3 linked regions of the Macaca mulatta genome follow. The protein of the gene in region 3 interacts with the protein of the main gene of each other region in a biochemical or structural test. Links are inferred from orthologs where the notes say so. Each region holds a gene or a part of one and is shown on either strand. Other genes may lie near its edges. The genes, in order: GTF2F2, CREBBP and GTF2B.

The links.
Region 1: the proteins of GTF2B (region 3) and GTF2F2 form a complex in vitro, tested with the Homo sapiens proteins (2 studies listed by BioGRID and IntAct). The link is inferred for Macaca mulatta from reciprocal best matches to the Homo sapiens genes GTF2B and GTF2F2.
Region 2: the proteins of GTF2B (region 3) and CREBBP form a complex in vitro, tested with the Homo sapiens proteins (2 studies listed by BioGRID). The link is inferred for Macaca mulatta from reciprocal best matches to the Homo sapiens genes GTF2B and CREBBP.

Annotation. Positions count from the first base shown.
Region 1 is NC_133422.1:24,430,841-24,434,592, forward strand, and holds the start of GTF2F2 (general transcription factor IIF subunit 2), read left to right. Parts: upstream 1-1,215; 5' UTR 1,216-1,362; coding exon 1,363-1,428; intron 1,429-3,752. UniProt on the Homo sapiens protein: TFIIF is a general transcription initiation factor that binds to RNA polymerase II and helps to recruit it to the initiation complex in collaboration with TFIIB.
Region 2 is NC_133425.1:5,006,032-5,009,683, forward strand, and holds part of CREBBP (CREB-binding protein), read right to left. Parts: intron 1,977-3,652; coding exon 1,734-1,976; intron 369-1,733; coding exon 266-368; intron 1-265. UniProt on the Homo sapiens protein: Acetylates histones, giving a specific tag for transcriptional activation. Mediates acetylation of histone H3 at 'Lys-18' and 'Lys-27' (H3K18ac and H3K27ac, respectively).
Region 3 is NC_133406.1:151,737,229-151,740,880, forward strand, and holds part of GTF2B (transcription initiation factor IIB), read left to right. Parts: intron 1-3,263; coding exon 3,264-3,397; intron 3,398-3,652. UniProt on the Homo sapiens protein: General transcription factor that plays a role in transcription initiation by RNA polymerase II (Pol II). Involved in the pre-initiation complex (PIC) formation and Pol II recruitment at promoter DNA.

The sequences.
Region 1 (3,752 bases), on a different chromosome or scaffold from region 3:
ACATAAAATTTCCTCAATTTTGTGCAAGGCTCTGATGTGTGATTCAATACATTACTTGCCCTTCTTAACAATACCTTACTGTTTGTTTCTCTTCAGCGAATGTTCTTTCACCCAAAGCCTGCTGAAACCTGACAATGTGTCAAACACTGTGCTATACATTGTGGATATAACATGAATAAAGCACCATTTTTTATTTGTAAATTATACCTCAATAAAGCTCTTTCTGCCTAGGAGGAGTTCGTTGTCTGGAAAGCAAAGGCAGATATGTAAACATATGTATTATAGTGCAGAGTGCTAAGTATCACACTGTGATGTGAAGAAAAACTAATTTCTTCTGGGGAAGTTGATAAAAGATCTCATAAGAAGTGACATTTCCATTGGTCTTGAACCATAAGTAGGAGTTTGCCAACCAGAGGAAAGAGTGGGAGTGAGGGCAGGGGTAAAAGAGGGCTTCCAAGGAAGGGAATCCAGTGTGCAGAGGCTCTGAAATGACCGAGGAAGATTCTGACGTGTTCCGGGAAGTCTGCTGGGTTTGGTGCGGTTCGGTGCATGGTGGAGTAATGGTGGGAGGGGAAAACGGATGAAATTAAGAGGGCCCAGTTGAAGCAGGAGGATTGAATTTTATTCTAGAGGCAAGAAGAGAAAGAGAAAACTTTAAGCAGGGGAGGAAACGATCAGTTTTGTCTCTTACTTGTTCGTTTCGTCACAGACCTTCGGGTTTTGGAATATGAGGTGCTCTGCTTGCTTAATCAGAGGAGCTCGGGCAGCCTCTGAGCTGAAACACGGCTTTCTTTTCAGGTCTAGAAACGGCATGTTTTCAATATACCCAGGGCTACCAAGTCTGATCCCAGTGCCCACTTGTGCTAATGACGTTGGCCAGGGGGGATGCCAATTTACTAACCTAAGCCTGTCCTTCAAATATTCTTTCTCTCTCTTTGGCTAGGGTTGGACACGTTCTGACAACTTTTGTCTCTTTGAACCCCGTTTTTCCGTTCTGATAATCTTTTTCTTCAGTTATGCTGGCCATGTCTTTAAATACGTTGCTAACGTTTTGGCTCATCTTACCCTATGTTTTAATCCCTCAGATACACACTACGCTGACAGCCACGCCCACCCAAGGAATTTCCGAAACAGAAAGTTTGTCTGCAACAGCGCGCCGTACGAACGTACAGTGCGCAGGCGCAGTCTGGCTACCGGCGGCGTGTTCCTCTTTCCCCCCGGTTTCCAGTGTCCTGGCAGGTAAGGAACGCCGCCTCTTCACCTCTCAGCGCGGCTTGCCCTTTGTTCCGGACGCCCACTTCTCAGCCCTCCGGCTCCTGGTGTCGCTGCTGTAGGCCACACGCGTCCACCGGCAACAGACCCATGGCCGAGCGCGGGGAACTCGACCTGACCGGCGCCAAACAGAACACAGGAGTGTGGCTAGTCAAGGTAATGTTCACGAGTCTCCCACTTGCGCTCCTCCTAACACAAGTATAATTTAAGTAACTTGAGCCCATCCCGCTCCGTGCACCTCTTAAAGTTCTTTTACGGCTATCTCGTTAGAGCTTCACATATTTTGAGAGGCAGGAGTCATTGTTGTATCTGTTTGCAGATGAGGAGATTAGTTTAGGGACGCAAAGTGTCTTTCAGCCGGTTACTGGTCTGAATCAGCCTGGACTAGATCTCTTTCTCACGGCTTTCCTGGAGCCCTGTCTTGGTGTTCCTAGACTTGGGCGGTGCATTTTATCCCAGACCGAAGAATTACTTGTATCTTTCCCTTGGTGAAACTGGTTTTAGCCATGAGCCTGTGTGAGGTAGTTGAATGTCTGCTTTCTGTACAGTTTTTTCGGCGAGAAACTAGAACTGGTCCCTGCGTACTCTTATTCTCTTAGGTAAATGGTCCTTAATGAAGCTCTCAAAAGAGGCGAGAGAGCCCTGAACAAACAGAAGGAGAGGTCAGGAGAGGTCATTGGACTGGAGTATTCTTTCAGAGCACATTTGGGTCTGATGAAACTGGCCGTCAATAAATGTTTTATGTAAAGACAGCAATTTTGGTTGGCTCACAGCGGGCACTATTTGTGCTTTACTGTTTCATGTTGGGAAGTGTTTTCTCCTAGGGGAGTTTCATAATACTTAAGCAAATTCAAAATGTGATCCTGAAAGTCGTTGAGACTTAAAATGTAAGGACTTTCGGTTTCTTAATGCTTTAACTGATTTATCATATGGCTGAGTTCTCGTCAATTAAATCTAAGAGGTCTTTCTTGTCGGCCTTCTTAAAAATGGCTCCCTTATGATCATTTGCTAACACGACAGATCCGTATTACATTCTTTCTTTTCTTTTTTTCTTTTTTTTTTTTTTTGAATCAGAGTCTTGCTCTGTCGCCCAATCTGGAGTGCAGTAGTGCGATCTTGGCTCACTGCAAGCTCCGCCTCCCAGGTTCACGCCATTCTCCTCTCTCAGCCTCCCGAATAACTGGGACTACAGGCACTCGCCCCCACGCCCGGCTAATTTTTTGTATTTTTAGTAGAGACAGGGTTTCACCGTGTTAGCCAGGATGGTCTCGATCTCCTGACCTCGTGATCCGCCCGCCTTGGCCTCCCAAAGTGCTGGGATTACAGGCGTGAGCCACCGCACCTGGCCGTTACATTCTTCAAAGCACTTTTCACAGTGTAGAGTGATTTTGTGTTAATATGTTCAAAGTTGGTTACCTCCGTCTTTCCAACACACAAAATCACATTCCATGAGATTGGATCTTTGCCTGTCATACCCAGAATAGTGTTTGGCACATGGTAATTACTCAACAAAAAGGTGATGAATAAATGCATGACCTCTCATTCTTTAACCCTCGCCTTAATCTGTGGCACTGATTTGACTTATTTCCAAGCTCAGTGTGACTTAAAAGGATGAATTAAATAGGCATTTCTCTCTCCAGCAGCGTGTTAATTGGAGGAGAGTCACTAAGGAGGAGATGGCCCTTGCAGACTGAAGGAAAAAGCTTGAAAAAATGGTGTGACTTGAGATGGTGCCATTGTTCTAGGAGCATGGTAAATGCTCAGTGTTTACGCCTTACAGGATTTGGGTGGGTGGACATAGCATATACCATGGGGAATGGAACAGAAATGCAAGACTCAAAATACATAATCAGCATGGTGTGTCGTGGAAAACAGAGAGAACCTAGAGCAGAAGATCTGTGTAGATAAAGGTTGGGACCATATACTCAGATTGTCATATCATGAAACGGAGATGTTCTAACTTTAGTTTACAAGGAAGTAACAAACTTTTTGGAGGATTTGAGTGAGGGAGAGATGCCAAATATTTATTCAGAAAAAAAAAAGTTTGGCAGTGTGCAGTACGAATTAGAGGGGAGGGTAAGTAACCAGAGTCACATTTAGAAAATCATCACAGGATTGGGCCGGGCACGGTGGCTCACACCTGTAATCCCAACACTTTGAGAGGCCGAGACAGGTGGATCATGAGGTCAATAGTTTGAGACTAGCCTGGCCAGTATGGTGAAATCCCATCTCTACTAAAAATACCAAAATTAGCCGGTTATGGTGGCATGCGCCTGTATTCCCAGCTACTCAGGAGACTAAGGCAGAAGAATTGCTTGAAACTGGGAGGCGGAGGTTGCAGTGAGCTGAGATTGCTCCGTTGCACTCCAGCCTGGGCAACAGAACAAAAACTCCATCTCAGAAAAAAAAAAAAAAAGAAGTAGTAACTTGTTGCTTAGAAAGTGTGTCTTCATTCTCATCTCATCAGAATTTTATTTGAA
Region 2 (3,652 bases), on a different chromosome or scaffold from region 3:
TAATAAGGTTCTTCTACCACCACATGTGACTTCTAAAAGTTTAAGTCAGGAGAGCCAAGTAATGTATATAAATAAAACTTAAACTATGTTTAATCTATTATCTGCTCTACACTTACAATTAAAGAAAAAAAGGAAAACAGCATTCACCCCTCACCACCCCATTTAAACTATTTTCTGTGCCACACATTTAGAAAGAATCAGTTTTGTGTGGTTCTCAGTCCACGTTCTTGTTGGACTGTCACTCAGAACTGAAACAGGGTCTTACTTTGTGGCCCCCAAGGAAGTCGGAAGAGCTGATTCTGAAATCAAGTTTGGGGGCTGCTGATCTGTTGTTATTCCTCCTGCTGGAATGTTCATTGGATTATTTCCTTTAAAGACAGAAAGAAATCAATCAACTCTTAAATTTTAATATATACTTCAAAGTTTTGATGACAGATAACCAACATGTCATCACATAAACAATTGGTGATTATTTAAATAAGTGATTCTGGTCAGTTATAATAAGCACTGAGGCAGGAACCCCGAGTGTCATATTTTCAATAATGGTAATCAACGTGCACAAATAATCAGTAGACACCTCCCCACTCTACTTTGTAACCAAAGTAAGGTGTGTTTATGGAGATTAGCTGGTATCTAAGTGAAAAAGTTATAAATGATCCATATGCAGCCTCTGACTTTCATTCTGCTTCATTAGTATCACTCCTGAGTGACTCAGCTGCACTGACATATACCTCTGTGTCTCCACCCCCAATATCAGAAAATAAAATCATAGAAATTAAGCTCAGGAAAAAAATACAGAGGTCAATTTGTCTACAATCTTCATATTAAAGTAAAGGAAGGCCGAGATTAATAAAGGTTAAGTTTGTCCTAAATTATACCATCAACAGGAGAGGAGTTAGATTAAGACTTGGGTCTCAGGACTCTAACCCAGTCTCCTGGCCACTATTAGTTAGACATTCACTGGGGCAGTTGTTTTCCAAAAAGCAACAAATAAGATGACTTTAGCTGGGCATATTTTAAGGAATAATTGTTAACCGTAAAATACTTTATTAGGAAAAGAACAAAACTAGCACAGCCAGCCAGCCAGTCTGGACTTCACAGACATCACTGCTTAGCTTAAGCCTAGATGTAAAGGGACTGTGTCCACTTAAAGAAAAATATTAAGGAAACCATATGCAGAAATGGCAAAAATCATGGGTATGTGTGAGCAAATGACCAAAGGTGGGCAAATAATGGGCTGGGGTGACAAAAGAAATGCTGACATGTCCAGCAGCCTGGGAAAAGAGTTTCCAGGGCTCCTGTCATTAACCTGCCGAAGTCCAGGCTGGTCACTTCCAACTGTGGGGTAGACCCTAACCAAGATGTGTGAGGAAGTGGCAAACGCAAGTTCTCCATCAAATAAATGACAACAGTCAGCACGAGGGGTCCAGTCAGCATCCTGACTTGTGAGATCTGCATTCTGAGCCACATGGCACATTCTTTATGAAAACTGTCCAGAGAGAAGTGGCACAGCAAGCAACAAAAACATTGCTTCATTTGCAAATGCTGCTCTTTTTATAAGCATATAACATTTTCCTTGCATTAGACACTTCAGCTTTTTACTGGGAGATTTTTATTTCAACCACTGTAGTAAAAAACACAAAACAAACTGAAAACTGCCTTGGGTTCCATCACTCCATTCCCTTTGCTATATTTGGACAAGTAAGAATGAAGTTGAGAGTTTCTTCACCTACCCAGGGGGTTGAGAGTCCTCATCTGCTGGTGGGTTTGAGGCTGTGCTGGTTGCTGGCCAGGAACCTGAGGCTGCAGCTGCGTCTGGGGCTGGTTCATGTAGGGGAGTCCGAGAGCAGCATAGGCTCGCTGCATGGAGCTGGGGTCTATGGGATTTGGGTTACTTAAAGAAGTGGCATTCTGTTGCCCTGTGCCAACAGAACCAATTGTGTTTTGAATTCCACTAGCTGGAGACCCCAGGATGGCTATAACGACAAACAGACAGACAAACGAGAAAGGTAAGTAAAAGGGAGAAGCCCACAAATGATTTAAAAAACTACTGAGAAGCAAATACATTTCATCAAAATACTACACATGAATATCATAAAGCAGTAAAACAAGGCTAGGGAGAAAGGAACTGTGCTGAAGGACTCATGTATTCTGCCTAGCAGTAAGTGAGGAACAAAAAGTGAAAGAAAAGTGAAGTTTCTATCTTAGCAGGCAACAGATCATAAAATTTCACAGATAACACCTGAAAAAAATTAGTATGTTTTAAAACCTAGAGACTCCTCAAGAGGTCAGTTCCAGGGAGTGGCAAATGTATGACAAGGGAAACGTCTGATTCTCTGGTGGGCAGCAGACACCTTGAGATGAACAGAGGAGCACCCTCCTGCTGTTAACCCCAACCCTGTCCTTCACTGCTCACCTGCACAGGTACAGAGGGCTTAAGAGAAGGAGCAGAGATGATACCTCGTTGGTCAGTTTTGATTAATAAATCTATGATGTGCTCTTCTAAATCACATAATCGCAAGTCCTTGAAACTTACACAAGCAATGACAGCATGAACACATCCTTCTGACGGGATTCCTATGCAGCAGAGCACCATGCTGAGCTCTCTGGTTATATGAAGCTGTTTAAGAAATACTGAACTTGACTGATTGACTGATTTGTTTGAAATTAAGGTTGGAGTGAGGCTTCGCAATTCCGCATGGGTCTTGTTATCCGGGGCCACCTCAGCACCTCTGATATTCAGGAGGTGGCTCTGCCTCACATGGCCAACATCAGATTCTGCTACCCAGGCCCACTGCTGGCTGGCAGGGAAGCTGCCCCATTCAGCTAGCTAACCCCAGGAGACTAAAGGAAAAACTGGTGTCAACATAAGAAGCTCCATCCCAAAGGGCTTCCAAGGTAATGGAGAGACTACTCCAAACTTGCATCAACTTGCATCAACTTGGGCATTTCAAAGTCAATTCATCTACCCACCTACCTACCCACCTGTTTGCCTGCCCACTCATCCGTCCCAACAACCCAAATGTTGTGTGAAAATTTATCATATGGCAGAAGTTCTACATCATACTATTTATTCTTATTTTTGAGTTCCTTTCTAACTTCCACAAATTTTAGAGTCATGTTAAAAATAGCATCCTACAGTGTTGCTACTATAACACATCATTTTTTGATACATAAAACACGATCACAAAGCCTTTCTTTCAAATTCCAACCACTATGTGTAACAGTAATATTCTCACATTCAACCATCAGTGCACCTATAGTAACCCCAATACTTACCCAGAGCGACCTAATTAAACTAAAATGTGTGAAAAGAAAATTCCTGGTAATTATACATTCCATACTATTAACTTTTCTAATAAGGATACTCAGATCAACTCATTAACACTCATCAGACACAATTACACACACCAAGCACTCATTATCATAAATGAAAAGCAACTCCCAAGGTGCACTTTATGACAAGTGTGTAGCTGAAGTAAGTCATGCACAATACCTTGAAAAGTATTCTAATACTTACTACTCCCCAAAACTTTAAACATGTGTCCACCATACTTCTGAAACTGACATCTTACATTTTTAAGAAGCACTATGGTATAGAAATCAAAGTTACCAGTGATAGGATAGTTTATTTTTCTACAACCTTGCGATG
Region 3 (3,652 bases):
CTGTCTAAAAATACTATGCTGGTGCTTATGATGAATTTAGTGAAAAGAGCTTGCCATGAAACAGGTACAATATCTAAATTTTAGGAAAACATATAGGTGCATACATATGAACGAAAAACACAGAGCATATATGAAAATATAGTGGTCGTCACTGGGTATTGGGAATGGAGGTAACTTTTTTTTCTAACATCTTTTAGTGAGCAAGTATTTTCTAAAAAGGAAGAAAACTTGATCTCTTTAGTGTGATCTCTTTGGGACATGGGTTTGTTGGTGAATAGTACTCACTGCACAGTGGTTTGGTAAGGTTTCAGTGCACAATGACAATTTGATACTTTTAAGTACCTTTTTAAAATCTGTGTAATTCACATTACTTCCTAAGTTTAGTGATGTTTATTATGAGGAAGAGGAAATAGAGAAATCCTTGTAATGCCATCCATCTAACGCTTTTCTCCTTGTTTTGGGCCACCTCCTCGATGTGATGTATTAAAATTGCCTTCTGACTTACCGCCCTGCTTCTGCCTGCCTTGCCTGTTCTCATTGCATGCAGGGATGGCAGATGGGAACTCTGCCTCTAATCTCAATCCCTTTGTAATGTGGACACATGGTAGTCCAACTGATAATCTACTTTTACCTCAGCTGTTTAAAGAAAAGTTTTTCTGTTGCGTGCGGTGGCTAACCCCTGTAATCCCAGCACTTGGGGAGGCCCAGGTGAGTGGATCGCTTGAGCCTAGGGGTTCACGACTAGCCTAGGTAACATGGGCAAAACCCCGTCTCTACAAGAAATACAAAAATTAGCCAGGCATTAGTGGTGCATATCTGTAGCTGCTCAGGAGGCTAAGGTGGAAGTATGGCTTGAGCCTGGGAGGCAAAGGCTGCAGTGAGCCGAAATTGCACCACTATACTCAAACCTGGGCGAGAGAGCGAGATCCTGTCTGAAAAATAAAAAGAAAGAAAAAAGAAACATTTTGTCAGAGGCTTCAGGAATGAATCATTCTCTTGAACATTTGCTTACTTTCGACAGGGTCTCACTCACCCAGGCTGGAGTGCAGTGGTGTAATCATGGCTCCCTGCTCCCTGCAGCCTCAACCTCCTGGGCTCAGGTGATCCTCCCACCTCAGCCTCCCTACAGGCATGTGCTACCATGCTCAGCTAATTTGTTTTTGTATTTTTTTGTAGAGACAGGGTTTCACCATGTTGCCCAAGCTGGTCTCGAACTCCTGGGCTCAAGTGATTTTCCTGCCTCAGCCTCCCAAAGTGCTAAGATTACAGGCGTGAACCACCATGCCGAGCCTTTTCTTAAATCTGTCACTAAGATTAAATTACATGATCACTATACTCTGGTTGTTTATGAGCATTTAAATTAATTTTTATATACAAAATTTTAAAGTTAGCATAGTCTAGGTGGAATTCCTTCTGTTTTCTCTGTTCTTTGCTGTCCTCCTGATCAAGTACTTAGCAGAGCACTTGGGAACTTTTAAAGTCTTCTATGGAGATTAATGTTACTGTTTTGTTATTTGGGTTTTTTTTTTTTTTAATTTGAGGCGGAGTTTTGCTCTTGTTGCCCTCTTGTTGTGAACTCAGCTCACCACAACCTCCGCCTCCTGGGTTCAAGCAGTTCTGCCTCAGCCTCCTGAGTAGCTGGGATTACGAGCATGCACCACCACGCCCAGCTATTTTGTATTTTTAGTAGAGACAGGGTTTCTCCATGTTCGTCAGACTGGTCTCGAACTCCCAACCTCAGGTGATCCGCCCGCCTGGACCTCTCAAAGTGCTGGGATTACAGGCATGTGCCACCATGACCAGCTAATTTTGTATTTTTAGTAGAGACAGGGTTTCTCCATCTTGGTCAGGCTGGTCTCGAACTCCTGACCTCAGGTGATCCGCCTGCCTTGGCCTCCCAAAGTGCTGGGATTACAGGCGTGAGCCACTGCACCTGGCCCGAGATTAATATTTTAAACTGATGCCTCTCCCTTATCATCCCCACAAAAAAGGAGAAACTCAGAATATATGCTATCTTTCTAATTTTCATAGCAGTAAATAGCGAATATTGAGCACGTAGTACTACTTTTTAAACACTTTACATGCACTATACGTGGGTATTATAATATCTTATTTAATCTTTATAATCTTTAAAATACGAGGTTAAGGAGAATTTTAGAGCTGAGGTAATAAAGACATAGAAATGAAGTAATATTCTAAGGCTAAGCAGCAAAGGGCAGAGTTCACACTCTTGACTATTATATTAATTGACTGTTAATACCATAACTCTAATTGCTGCAGTAACTGGTTTCTGCCATTTGTTTCTTTCTGCTTGCTGTGTATACACAAAGATGAAATGGTCTGGTTCCTTCCTACTTTCAGCTTCATCACAATTCACTGAAAAAGCTCATGTTTTATAATTGGAGTGTAGAACAGACTCTGATGTGCATTTCAGTTCTAGCTATGTGATCTTAGGCTAGTTCATCTTATTTGTGAAGTGGCAGTAAAAGTGGTACCTCCCTTGATAAGGCTGTGAAGATTAAGTGAGAACATGTACAAAAGGGCACAATGAGTATCGTGTGTAAGTGTTCAGTGTTAACTTTTGACTACTCTGAAGGTATTGCCAGACATTGAGATTTCTCACCAAAACAGTAATAATACGGTTTACTTGTGTCTGCTTTTTTTTGACATCATGTATTTAGATGCTGCCTCTTGGCTTAAAGAGAAAAGTTTGCCAACCAGACTTTGTTCTTACTGATTCTAGGCTTGAAGTTTATTCTGTATAAATTATTTGGCCACATATATTTTTCATCAAATTGTTACTTTGAAACAGAAGCTTAGGCTTATTTTCTGCAAAGCATTTCCCACCAAAACTTAGTGACGTTTTAATATGAAATTATTTGCATTAATACCATTCTAAAAAATGTTTTCTGTTTTTTTCCCATGCCTGTTGCAAATTTTGTGCAAAATCTGGTTCTTAATCATTATTACATTGTTTGCCTTTGCATCACATATGAATAGCTGTACTTTGCTACTTTTGACATTCTTTTTCTTCCAAGAGTTAGAATATCATAGCATAATGTTTCAAGAGGATTATTGTTAGACTGGTACAATAGTTAAAGGAATGCTTTAGGACAAATGTCTGAAATGTGATATTTGAGCTAGATCCTAGATGTCCATGTGGAGATTTCCTGGGAATAAAATGGCTTAGTTGGGCATTGGACAGTGTAGTTAAGTAAACCTTATCTTGACAAAATGATTCAGGTATGTGCTTATATTCTTAGGTGACCGGGTTATCGATGTGGGATCTGAATGGCGAACTTTCAGCAATGACAAAGCAACAAAAGATCCATCTCGAGTTGGAGATTCTCAGAATCCTCTTCTGAGTGATGGAGATTTGTCTACCATGATTGGCAAGGTAATAAGTCCATTTGGCAGGAAATACCAATTGCAGAATGACCATAGACCTGAGAGTTTGGGAACTTTGCAAAAGTATGTCACTGTACCAGTGGGGACTCTTGACCTGTCTAATAAGATTTGCCAGTAATATCATTGTGAATGAAGGCTAACTTGTGTGTTTATTCCATCCTAAAGTGGGGAAGACTTTTAAATCAAATTAAATCCAAATTAAATCCAAATTACAGGGCCTTTATATCAGACCTTTTTTTCATAA